Macaca mulatta: one gene and its partner. The protein of the gene in region 1 interacts with the protein of each later gene in a pairwise test. Links are inferred from orthologs where the notes say so. Each region holds a gene or a part of one and is shown on either strand. Other genes may lie near its edges.

What was found.
Region 2: the proteins of UBE3A (region 1) and TAT interact in binary tests that used the Homo sapiens proteins (3 or more experiments, as listed by UniProt). The link is inferred for Macaca mulatta from reciprocal best matches to the Homo sapiens genes UBE3A and TAT.

The regions. Positions count from the first base shown.
Region 1 is NC_133412.1:4,510,366-4,515,861, forward strand, and holds the start of UBE3A (ubiquitin-protein ligase E3A), read left to right. Parts: upstream 1-1,820; 5' UTR 1,821-1,893; intron 1,894-5,496. UniProt on the Homo sapiens protein: E3 ubiquitin-protein ligase which accepts ubiquitin from an E2 ubiquitin-conjugating enzyme in the form of a thioester and transfers it to its substrates.
Region 2 is NC_133425.1:68,298,501-68,303,883, forward strand, and holds the start of TAT (tyrosine aminotransferase), read left to right. Parts: upstream 1-1,737; 5' UTR 1,738-1,895; intron 1,896-2,478; 5' UTR 2,479-2,490; coding exon 2,491-2,725; intron 2,726-2,880; coding exon 2,881-2,985; intron 2,986-5,255; coding exon 5,256-5,323; intron 5,324-5,383. UniProt on the Homo sapiens protein: Transaminase involved in tyrosine breakdown. Converts tyrosine to p-hydroxyphenylpyruvate. Can catalyze the reverse reaction, using glutamic acid, with 2-oxoglutarate as cosubstrate (in vitro).

The sequences.
Region 1 (5,496 bases):
ACTGAGAGGAAATGAAAAGTGAATAACGAGCTGAGTTAAAACATCTTAGAATATGGCTGAATACTATCATTTATCGTCAGTTGTCCTAGAATAACTTAAATTCTTCTAGCTTATTGTTGTTTTTTCGATAGTTGATTATAGTTGTGAGGCGGGATACACACACCCCCACACTATAACAAAGATTTTCTGAGACTGACAGTTAAAAAATACAGTGTTGGCCGAGCACTGTGGCTCATGCCTATAGTCCCAGAATTTTGGGAGGCTGAGGTGGGAGGATCACTTGAGGCCAGGAGCTTGACATAGCAAGACTCCATCTCCAAGTTTAAAAACAAAAATAAATTAAAAAAAGATACACTGCTATGTATGACTGTTGATATAAAAAATCTGAATACTAGACATGGCGACTCATATGCTACTTCAAGGGCTTATCAACAAAGTTGCTAGTCGTAACACTGTGAATTGTTAATGATACTGTTTTGGCTTTGCTAGCAAGTGTTGTAAAGCTACATATACACATACATACACACACCCCTTTTAAAATAAAATGGTGATCCTGGTACTAAATATGATTTTAAATGGATTTAATTTTAATTTTAATGGCTTGAACTAGGTTCAGCTGTCATAGGGATCAAAATTAGCCTCTATCCCAGCTGGGGTCAACCAGGGAGCCACTTTTCTTAACCGACAACCTACTGCACGTCAACAACTGCAGGAGACGGGACTTTACCTTCGTCTCCGGTAAACTAGTTGACACATCCCGTGTTGGCAAGAGGCCTAAGCAGATGACCTTGGTCCTCTAAAATCTGGCCTGCACTCTCGGGGCACCCCTGCAACACCTATAAAGACAGCTCCAGATAGAAAAGGGTTGGGGTGGAAAAGTTAATAACGCCAGGCACCTGCCCCGCCTCGGGGCTGGGGGCTATTCCTGCGGTTTCAGCTGACTTTCGGAGCCATTCGTCTCCCTACACAGTCGGAGGCATTCCTCGGCTGGGTACACCAAGGGGCTCTGCAACCCTCCTGGGGGGTGCCCAGAGGGCTTCCGGATGTACCAGGTTTATTCTTTCGGGTCACAGACAGCACAAACTAAAAGGAGGGATTATCCTTTCTGTCCAGTCGCAAGATGGCGACCGACCCTGGTGGGACTCCGAGGGGCCGCGGGCCACCTCCTCTTCCCAACGACCCGTGCGCCGGCGGCGACGGCAAGCGGGGGGGAGGCGGAGCCGGCGAGGGAAGGAGGGGCGGAGCGCGGCGCCCTCCCGCGCGTCTTGGCCCCGCCCCACGTCCCCGCGTCCCGGCCTGGAGCCCTCGCCCGGCCGGGCGGCGCGCGCTGCCTGCCGGGATACTCGGCCCGCCCAGCCAGTCCTCCCGTCTTGCGCCGCGGCCGCGAGATCCGTGTTTCTCCCAAGATGGTGGCGCTGGGCTCGGGGTGACTACAGGAGACGACAGGGCCTTTTCCCTTCGCCAGGACCCGACACACCAGGCTTCGCTCGCTCGCGCACCCCTCCGCCGCGTAGCCATCCGCCAGCCCGGGCGCCCGCCATCCGCCGCCTACTTACGCTTCACCTCTGCCGACCCGGCGCGCTCGGCTGCGGGCGGCGGCGCCTCCTTCGGCTCCTCCTCGGAATAGCTCGCGGCCTGTAGCCCCTGGCAGGAGGGCCCCGCAGCCCCCGGTGTGGACAGGCAGCGGCGGCTGGCGACGAACGCCGGAATTTCGGCGGCTCCGGCGCCCCCTTTCCCGGCCTCGTTTTCCGGATAAGGAAGCGCGGGTCCCGCATGAGCCCCGGCGGTGGCGGCAGCGAAAGGGAACGAGGCGGTGGCGGGCGGAGGCGGCGGGCGAGGGCGACGACGACCAGTGAGGCGGCCGCCGCAGCCCAGGCGCGGGGGCGACGACAGGTCAGTGTTGCCGCGGCCTGCGTCAGGCGGCGCTGGCTCCCCTCCGTCACTCGGCCGGCCTTCGGGGCCCGCGGTGGCGAGGTCGGCGCCCCGCTTCCCCGCCCCCCGCCGCCGAGGCGAGTGTTTGGGGGCGCGTGGTCCGGAGGGGCTGGTGCCAGAAGTAGGCCCCTGGTGGCCGCGGCTGCTGCAGTCTTAACTGTCAGTCCTGGCTGAGCGCCGGCGGGAGGGTTTTGTCGCCCGAGGGGACGCGAGCGGGCCCGGGGCGGGGCTGGACGTGCGAGGCGTCGAGATTTGGGCCTCCTCGGAGAGAGGCTTGTCGAGCCAGCCGGGGCCCCGGACTGGGAAGGGCAGGCCCTTTCCTTCCAAGGGGAGCTCTTTCTCGGCGTTTTCGAGGTTTCTGGCTCTCTTGGGGAAGACATATTTAGCCGTGTGCTTGGTGGGTTGGGGTTTTGGGGGTGGATTGATGGGAAGGGAGGGCGGAGGAAGTGGTATGTCAAGCCCAAGGGTTGTGCGCACAGATTACTCATGTGTTGCCGTCCACCAGGATTTCTGAAGTTGAACGTGAGTTACTGGCTTTGCCAGAGACTGCTGTGTTATATGCAGACCTGCATGCAAGCAGTTGGCCTTTTTTTTTTTCCCCCTTTTCACTGGAGAAAATGAAAAGGATGCTTTCCTCATCTTAGTGATAAAGGCTTTTGTTGGTAAAGGTGGAATTGAATGTACCAAATGCCTTAGTCCGTGAAATTTTAAAAATAATTTTAATACAGTGGTGAAGCTTGGCAACCTTGAAAGAGAATTTAGCGTCTAAATTTTTTTAATGACTTTTTATGGATGTGCTAAATTAGTAACAGTACAAAATCTGTTTGAGATTATTAAGAGGCTAGGGTGCTGCTGAAAATATAAAGTAATAGCATATGGGGTTTGCAGTGCATAGTTAACCTCAATCATGAAGGAATATGGATATGACGCGTAATTTTGGATCATTTCACTGCCTGCAATATTGAGAGAAGCAGCAAATTACAGAGTTTTTTGGGAGACGACTTAAAGTTTAAGAAATACAACTGTCGGAAGTTACCTGTCAGAGACACAAAGGTACCCAGTCAATCTTGTGGAATACATTGGACAAGTGGGGTAAGTGTTTGTCTCACACTGCTGACCAATAAGTACTCTTAAGAGGTGATTGGGTAAATCATGTGAAATTTAGAATTTAGGAGAGAGAAGAAAGTTTTATCTTGGTATGTATAGTGGAAATAGCTTTGAAATTAGATCCTGTTTTTAAATCTAAGCTACTTACCACATTTTTAGTGAAATGAATACAATATTAATGATGTGGCTGATAAACCCTAAGGATGACCAGAAACCCTTTTAAGAAACGCTAATAGTCTTGACCAAAAATGAAATAGCTTCAAGAAATAATTTGCAATGTTTGTGTATTTATAATATACACAGGAGAAATACAAGAACAGAATATGAAGAGGTAACTCATAATCTTTACAAAATTAGAATGTAAACTATGCAAGTCTTACTGTGTCAATATTTATTAACCTGCATTAGTTTGCTAAGTAGTATGCTCACCATCCTCTGGACATTGCCCCTGTCCCTGAGGAGCTTAACTTTATACAGAGATACAAAATACTGTGTTTTGATTTCCTTTCAGAGGATTTATAAGCTACTTGTGTTTTATCTGTCCTAAATTCTGCCCTTTTTTTTTCATGGCTGAAAAAATAACTTCCTAAGAAAGGCACGTACTAGTCAGAGGTGTGGGGAAAAAGTGTTCTCATCCCACTTGTCCAGTCCATTTAACAGTATTTATTGGGTACCTACAGTGTCTTTGACATGTGACATCTAATCAGTTGTATTTCTTAAACTTCATATCATTTCTATTTCAATCACCTCCTACTCCCCTCCAAAAAAATTTGCTGTGTAAACTGTGATAATACACTGTTTCTCTCAGTGTCAGTCAGTGGAATGATCCAGATGTATAGGTCATAGCAAAGTTTTTCATCCCAAGCTCTTAAAATGATGTTTCCAAATGTCCATTTTCTTAAATGACTGCTAATGTTCTCCAATCGTGTTACACATATTTTGTTTAGACCTATAATTGTATAGGTCTAAATGTAGAAACATTACATTATGTACTTATGCAGCTGCTGAAAGAAAATTAGTTTTCTAATTTTTAGATCGGGGTGAAGACAAACTTTTAGAAGTGATCTTTCAGTAAAATACTGGATGAAGTCTTAGGTGCTCTTTTTATGCTGGTTCAGGACAAAAGTTTTTTTGACTGGTTTTGAGTTTTCCCCTCACTGCCAAATGTAAGGATAAAATGTAGTAACAAGACAAATTGGTATGTATAGTGGTAATGTCTTTGGAATTAGACCCTACTTTTAATTCTGACCTTATTAATCTTGGTAAGCCACAGTTTTGTCACCTGTAAAATGGGTTGGTGAAACTTCCCCAGAGTTGTGAGGCTTAAAGTATGTAAAACGCCTAACACGCAGGCACTCAATAAGTATTACCTTAGAAATCTTCCTATCCAGTTTTTCTGAATGGTCTGGAAGCACTTTGTATATAATGGACTACAGCATGTTATCCTTTATATTGTTTATTTCTTTTCTCATTAGCTATGAACTCTTTAAGGCCAGGAATTCCTAGTGTTTACCAGAGAATGCGTTACTAGATGTCTTAGTCTGTTCTGGCTACTATTACAAAACACCACAGACAGGGTGGCGTATAAACAACGGAAGTTTTATTTCTCACGGTTCTGGGGGCTGAGAAGCCCAACCAAGATCAAGGTACCGACAAATTTGACATCTTAGTGAGGGCCCTCTTCCCTTGTTCATAGACAGCTAGCTGTCTTTTCACTATAACTTCATGTAGTAGAAGAGTAGAGGGGGCTCTATAGGGCCTCTTTTATAGAGGCATTAATTCCATTAATGAGGGCAAAGCCTCCCAAAGGCCCCAGCTGTTAATACTGTCACCTTGGCGGTTAGGCTTTCAACATGAATTTTGGGGGACACATTCAGACCACAGCACTAGAGCAGTCATGAATTAGTTATTGGTAAATCAGTAAATGATCAACTAACATTGATTAGGTTCCTCCTGTGGCTTCTATGAGCTGAGCTAGGTACTGACGCCACAAAGACAAGAAAGCTGTCTGTCTTTTTGAATGCTTATAATTGAGTGACTTTCTCACATTCATGTGTGTGTGCATGTGTGTGTGTGTGTGTGTGTGTGTGTGTAAAACCCCATCACATAATGGAACTTCATTCTCCCATGCCCTTCCAATCTAAGAGCAGTTCTGTGGACTCAATACCTCCTACCCACCAGCTGCTACTCTGAAAATTTACTTTTGTACTCATTTTAAAAAGTTCAGCCCTTTGGCACATGCATTATTACTTCATGCCTTGGTCCCAGCCCACCACCCCAGTATCTGGCATGTAGTGTATTAGTATTTGTGTGTGTGTGTGTGTGTGTGTGTGTGTGTGTGTGTGTGTATGTATATAGAATTTAAAATTTTTGGCCGGGTGCGGTGGCTCACGCCTGTAATCCCAACGCTTTGGGAGGCTGAGGTGGGCGGATCACGAGGTCAGGAGATCGAGACCA
Region 2 (5,383 bases), on another chromosome or scaffold:
CTCCCGGGTTCACGCCATTCTCCTGCCTCAGCCTCCCGAGTAGCTGGGACTACAGGCGCCCGCCACCATGCCCGGCTAATTTTTTGTATTTTTAGCAGAGACGGGGTTTCACCGTGTTAGCCAGGATGGTCTCTATCTCCTGACCTCGTGATTCACCCGCCTCGGCCTCCCAAAGTGCTGGGATTAGAGGCGTAAGCCACTGCGCCCAGCCACAACAACACATCTTAATTCAGACCAGCCACATTTCAAGTATTCGACAGCCACTTATGACTAGTAGCTACGATATTAGACAGTGCAACTATAGACCACTTTTAGTCTCTATTTTTTTAGCAACTCCCAAACCAGCTATATATGTATTGTAATAAACATAGAAAACATTTGGAAGGATACACAAGAAATGACTAGAAATGCTTTTTTATATGAAATGGGAATGCAGGGAGGGAAGGTGATCAAGGTTTAATTCATGTATATCTCTATTTGAATTTATTATATAAGGATATATCATATTTACTAAAAACATAAAAGAGAAAATGCTTATTCTTTTCAACAAAGTCCATGTATAGAAATCTGTCTTAAGGAAATAATAAAATATGTAAACTAACATTTATGACAAGGATGCTGTTGGCCCAAGATGTGAATAATTTTTTCTAGTGTATCCATGCTATAGACGGTACCGGCCATTACTGTATAAGAAAAACATAGCGTACCTAGGGTTCAGTACTACCCATGGTTTCAGACATCCATAATTTCAGGCATGCACTGGAGGTCTTGGAGTGAGCTCCCTGTGGATAAGGGGGGACTACTATATTCAACCCCACTGGAGGCGTGACTCCCTGAAAAGTGGATGGAGAAGAACAAACTGATGTGAAAAATCTTTGTCTTCCAACAAATATACAGATAGGATCTGAACCTGGGGAGACCACTGAGCCTTCTCCTAACCCTTCAGTGGGTGGTCTTTTCCATCTGCTCACAGGAATGTTGAGATTTTGGCTGTGGACCTTGTGTTTTGCTTAGCAAATTTGTTTTGTGTAGATCGCACCTGACATTTTAAATTCTTCCAATAACCATAGGAGGTAAGTGAAGAATTCACGCGCAGTGCAAGGATAAAACTGCACAGGTTTCCGCTGCCTTGGAAACCCTGTGCTTTTCAGATATTCATTGAATGGAACTTAAGTGCCCAATTTGTTCTGATTGGAGCAAAACTTTGTGGATTGACAAGGAGGGGTGTCCAAGATGTAGGAAGTGAAAAAAAAATGTTGCCAAACAAGGTGTAGAGCAGGATCCTATCTGTGTTTTGAAATCTATAAAATTATGTATCTATGCACCTATATCTAATGTATCTATCTCTGAATGGAGAGAAAGAGCCTGACCATTACCACCCTCTACTCCTGGGAGTGAGAATGAAGTGTACAGGGAGCAGGTGCAAGGAAGAATGCTTACTTCTTACTTTATATATTTCTGTACTGTTAAAATTTTAACAGGCTGTTTTTTAACAATAAAAAAAATTTAATAAAAGCTATCAGCTGTAATAAGAACTACCTTCTGACAGTAGATATTCTGAAATCATCTCACCAAGTACCCAGAAAGAGTTAACACAGGAGAATTCCAGATGTTTGAAGTGAGGACAAATTCCTGCTTTGAGGGTGAGAGGTGGGCTTAGGGATAAGAGGCAATGAGGAGGGGAGAGGAGGAAAGAAGCTGAGGGGAGGGCTGGCTGCTGAGCTCTCATTCCCAACCAATGGCATGAAAGTTTCAGGCTCAACGCCCGTTTGTGGAGACTATTTCAGGAGTCAGGATTTGCATCTGAGTTCATTGCCACTGTAACCTGTCAAAGAAGAGCTAAGGGAGCTTTCAGGGTTTGCTTCTTGGAGGCTGCTTTCTCCTTTACTTGGAAGGTAAAAATCTCAAGCCCAAGCTGATCAGGCAGTGGTGACTGATTGGGCTGTTCACTTTTTTCTTTTTGGTGTATTGATTTCTTTTTCCAACTAGGGCTGTAGGATCCTTATGGGATAAGGTTTTACTTTTACTAACAATGATATTTACATGGAACTTCTAACAAGATGGAGTGGTTCTTCCTGGTTCTCTGTAGATAACAAGAAGCATTAGGTAGATTTTCTTGGATAGGCTCGCATGGAAAGGAGGGAGCACCTATTCTTTGATTGATGAACAATTTTCATGTTATTCCTTCTTGGTTTCTCATAGAGCATGGCTAAGCTTTGACAGGAATTACAGATGCATGTAGCAAATCCTACTTAAGTATGATGGGTTCTTGCTTTATTTTCCATCTCAGTAAAAAGTCTTAAAACTCCCCTCATTCATAGTAAAGCTACTTTATGAGAGAAAGTAGAAAAAAAAAAAAAGAGAGAGTTTGGAAAGACACTTTTAGTGAAGTCACCCCAATGTTTAGGTCCAAATGTAGCTCCTCTCTCTCCCAGTGCTATGTTTTCAACATCACAGGGACCTTCTTTCCCCTCGCAGGCTTCGCTAGTGATGGACCCATACGTGATTCAGATGAGCAGCAAAGGCAACCTCCCCTCAATTCTGGATGTGCATGTCAACGTTGGTGGGAGAAGCTCTGTGCCGGGAAAAATGAAAGGCAGGAATACCAGGTGGTCCGTGAGGCCCTCAGACATGGCCAACAAAACTTTCAACCCCATCCGAGCCATTGTGGACAACATGAAGGTGAAACCAAATCCAAACAAAACCATGATTTCTCTGTCCATTGGTGAGTTGGGGGACACTAATGAGGGGCTGTCATTGTCCCCCTCTACTCTCATGTTAACAGGCTGGTTGGAGAGGATGGGAGTTGGGGGTGAGTCTAAGTACTGAACATGGGAGAATAACCTCTTGGCTCCTTTTGTTTTTTCCTCCCATAAAAAGGGGACCCTACTGTGTTTGGAAACCTGCCTACAGACCCTGAAGTTACCCAGGCAATGAAAGATGCCCTGGACTCGGGCAAATATAATGGCTATGCCCCATCCATCGGTAAGCCCCTCCTGACACTCCATACCTGGTGGCTGCCAAATCTTTAGTGCTATAATAACGGGACCAAATGTCTAGTAATTCTCTTCACTTTCCTGATGCATAATTCCTAAGGAGAGGCTAAGATTACATGGCCCTTTGGATTTGGGAAAGGGGTCTTGGAATGCTTAAATACAAGGCATCAAGGTCCAACTTCTTTCCTGGCTTTCTTTAGCATATGGGCACTTCCCCTCTAGGCTCCCAAACATACTTATTTGTCAAGTAAAGTGCCTGTCCTATCATTACTAATTCTAATTTGAAGGCCTTGAGTCTGGCAGGAGCTTCGTGTTTGCTGAGCTTCTAGGTCCTAAATGGATTTACTTATTGCCCTATGTACATAGCTCCTTTGCTTCATTTCTGCTTCTCTGTGTATTGAAAGCCTATTTTCATTATGGTCCTGAGCACACTGAAATGCAATTGTTACTATTTAAGACTAAAGAGGTTAAACAAACAAATAAACAAACACCCAAGAACAACAAAAAATGGGCTCTCAAACTGAAGGATAGAAGGTTGTTTCTGATAGATTGAAATTACTCCTTTTTAGGTTTACTTCTCTCCATCTATTAAAAATTTCTACCCTGAATATTTTGGTAAAGTACATGCTTCCTTGACTTTCAATGTTGAACATTTTTTTTCCTTATGTGTACATAGAAACACATTCTTAATGCAGAATAAAACTCCAGTTTCATGATAAAATCAAATTTTAAAAACACTTTAAAGAGTTATATCGGGGACTTCGTGGTTTTTCGGTTGATTACTTACATTATATAAAGTTTCATACAATAAGAATAAAAACAAAATCAAGACCAAAAGTTAAGTTGTAAGAAAAGTTTCTAATGACTTTAATATTCAAAGTATTAGGAAACTGGTTTAACCTGAAAAACCAAAACCAAATCTCCATTTGACAAATGTTCAAAGGTTCTGAATATTTCATTTCAAAGGAGATACAGGTGTTAATATATATCTAAAAACGTGTTCTTCCTCATTAGTAATTAAGGAAGTGCTGATTTGTATAATTTTGAGAGATCCATCTGTACCTATTAAATTAGTAAACATTATGAAATAGTGCCTCTAGCCTTGCTAACTTGTCTTTTTGAATATAAATTTTGCAAAATATTAGGATGGGCATGAAACTGCTGATACTTCAAGCTTGTGAGCCAACATTTGGAAATATTGTACAAAAATAATTTGAAATAAAAATTTGTACAAAATACTGATAGGAATATTACATAACATAAAAAACTTAAAATGGACCACATGAATTGAATGCATTGATTACAACTTCTTTTTTTTTTTTTTTTTTTTGCTCTTGTTGCCCAGGCGGAGTGCAGTAGCGCGATCTCGGCTCACTGCAGCCTCCGCCTCCTGGGTTCAAGCGATTCTCCTGCCTCAGCCTCCTGAATAGCTCGGATTACAGGCACGCACCACTATGCCCAGCTAATTTTTGTAATTTTAGTAGAGATGGGGTTTCTCCATGTTGGTCAGACTGGTCTCAATCTCCTGGCCTCAGGTGATCCACCCACCTCGGCCCCCCAAAGTGCTGGGATTACAGGCATGAACCACCGCACCCAGTGATTACAACTTCTTAAAAAATACAGTCTGTAAAAAAGATTTAGGAATAATAGAAATCCTTATTTTACACAGAAAAAAACATAATCACAGAAATAAGATGGTGCAGAGTATTTGGGGAGCTCTTCCTTGTTATCATTTATAAATTTGTGCTTATACTAAAATTGTGAAACATAAAATGTGAAGTGAATCTCCTTTATCCACAGTGGCTGAGAGCTGAACTAAATAGAATGCCCTATGAGCAGGGGCAGAGGCAGCCTGAAGCCCATGCTGGACCTCCAGGGCATGGCTGTCAGTTCAGGGATGAAAGCTTCATCTTCTGGCCAGGCACAGTGGCTCACCCCTGTAATCGCAGCACTTTCAGGAGGCTGAGGTGGGAGAAGCCCCTGAGCCCAGGAGTTTGAAATCAGCCTGGGCAACAGAGGGAGATTCTGTCTCTACAAAAAAAAAAAAAAAAAAAAAAAAATTCAAAAATTAGCTGAGTGTGGGGGTGCACAACTATAGTCCCAGCTACTCAGGAGGCTGAGGTGGGAGGATCCCTTGAGCCCAGGAATTTGAGGCTGCAGTGAGCTATGGCTGTGCCACTGCACTCCAAGCCTGGGTGACAGAGTGAGACACAGTCTCTAAAAACCAAAAAAGCTCCACTTTCCACTCTTTTCTTTCAGGCTTCCTGTCTAGTCGGGAGGAGATTGCTTCTTATTACCACTGTCCCGAGGCACCCCTAGAAGCTAAGGTGAGCCTTATACAAAACACCAGCTCTGAAGCAATTTAGGATAAACTATCCCCTCTTTTC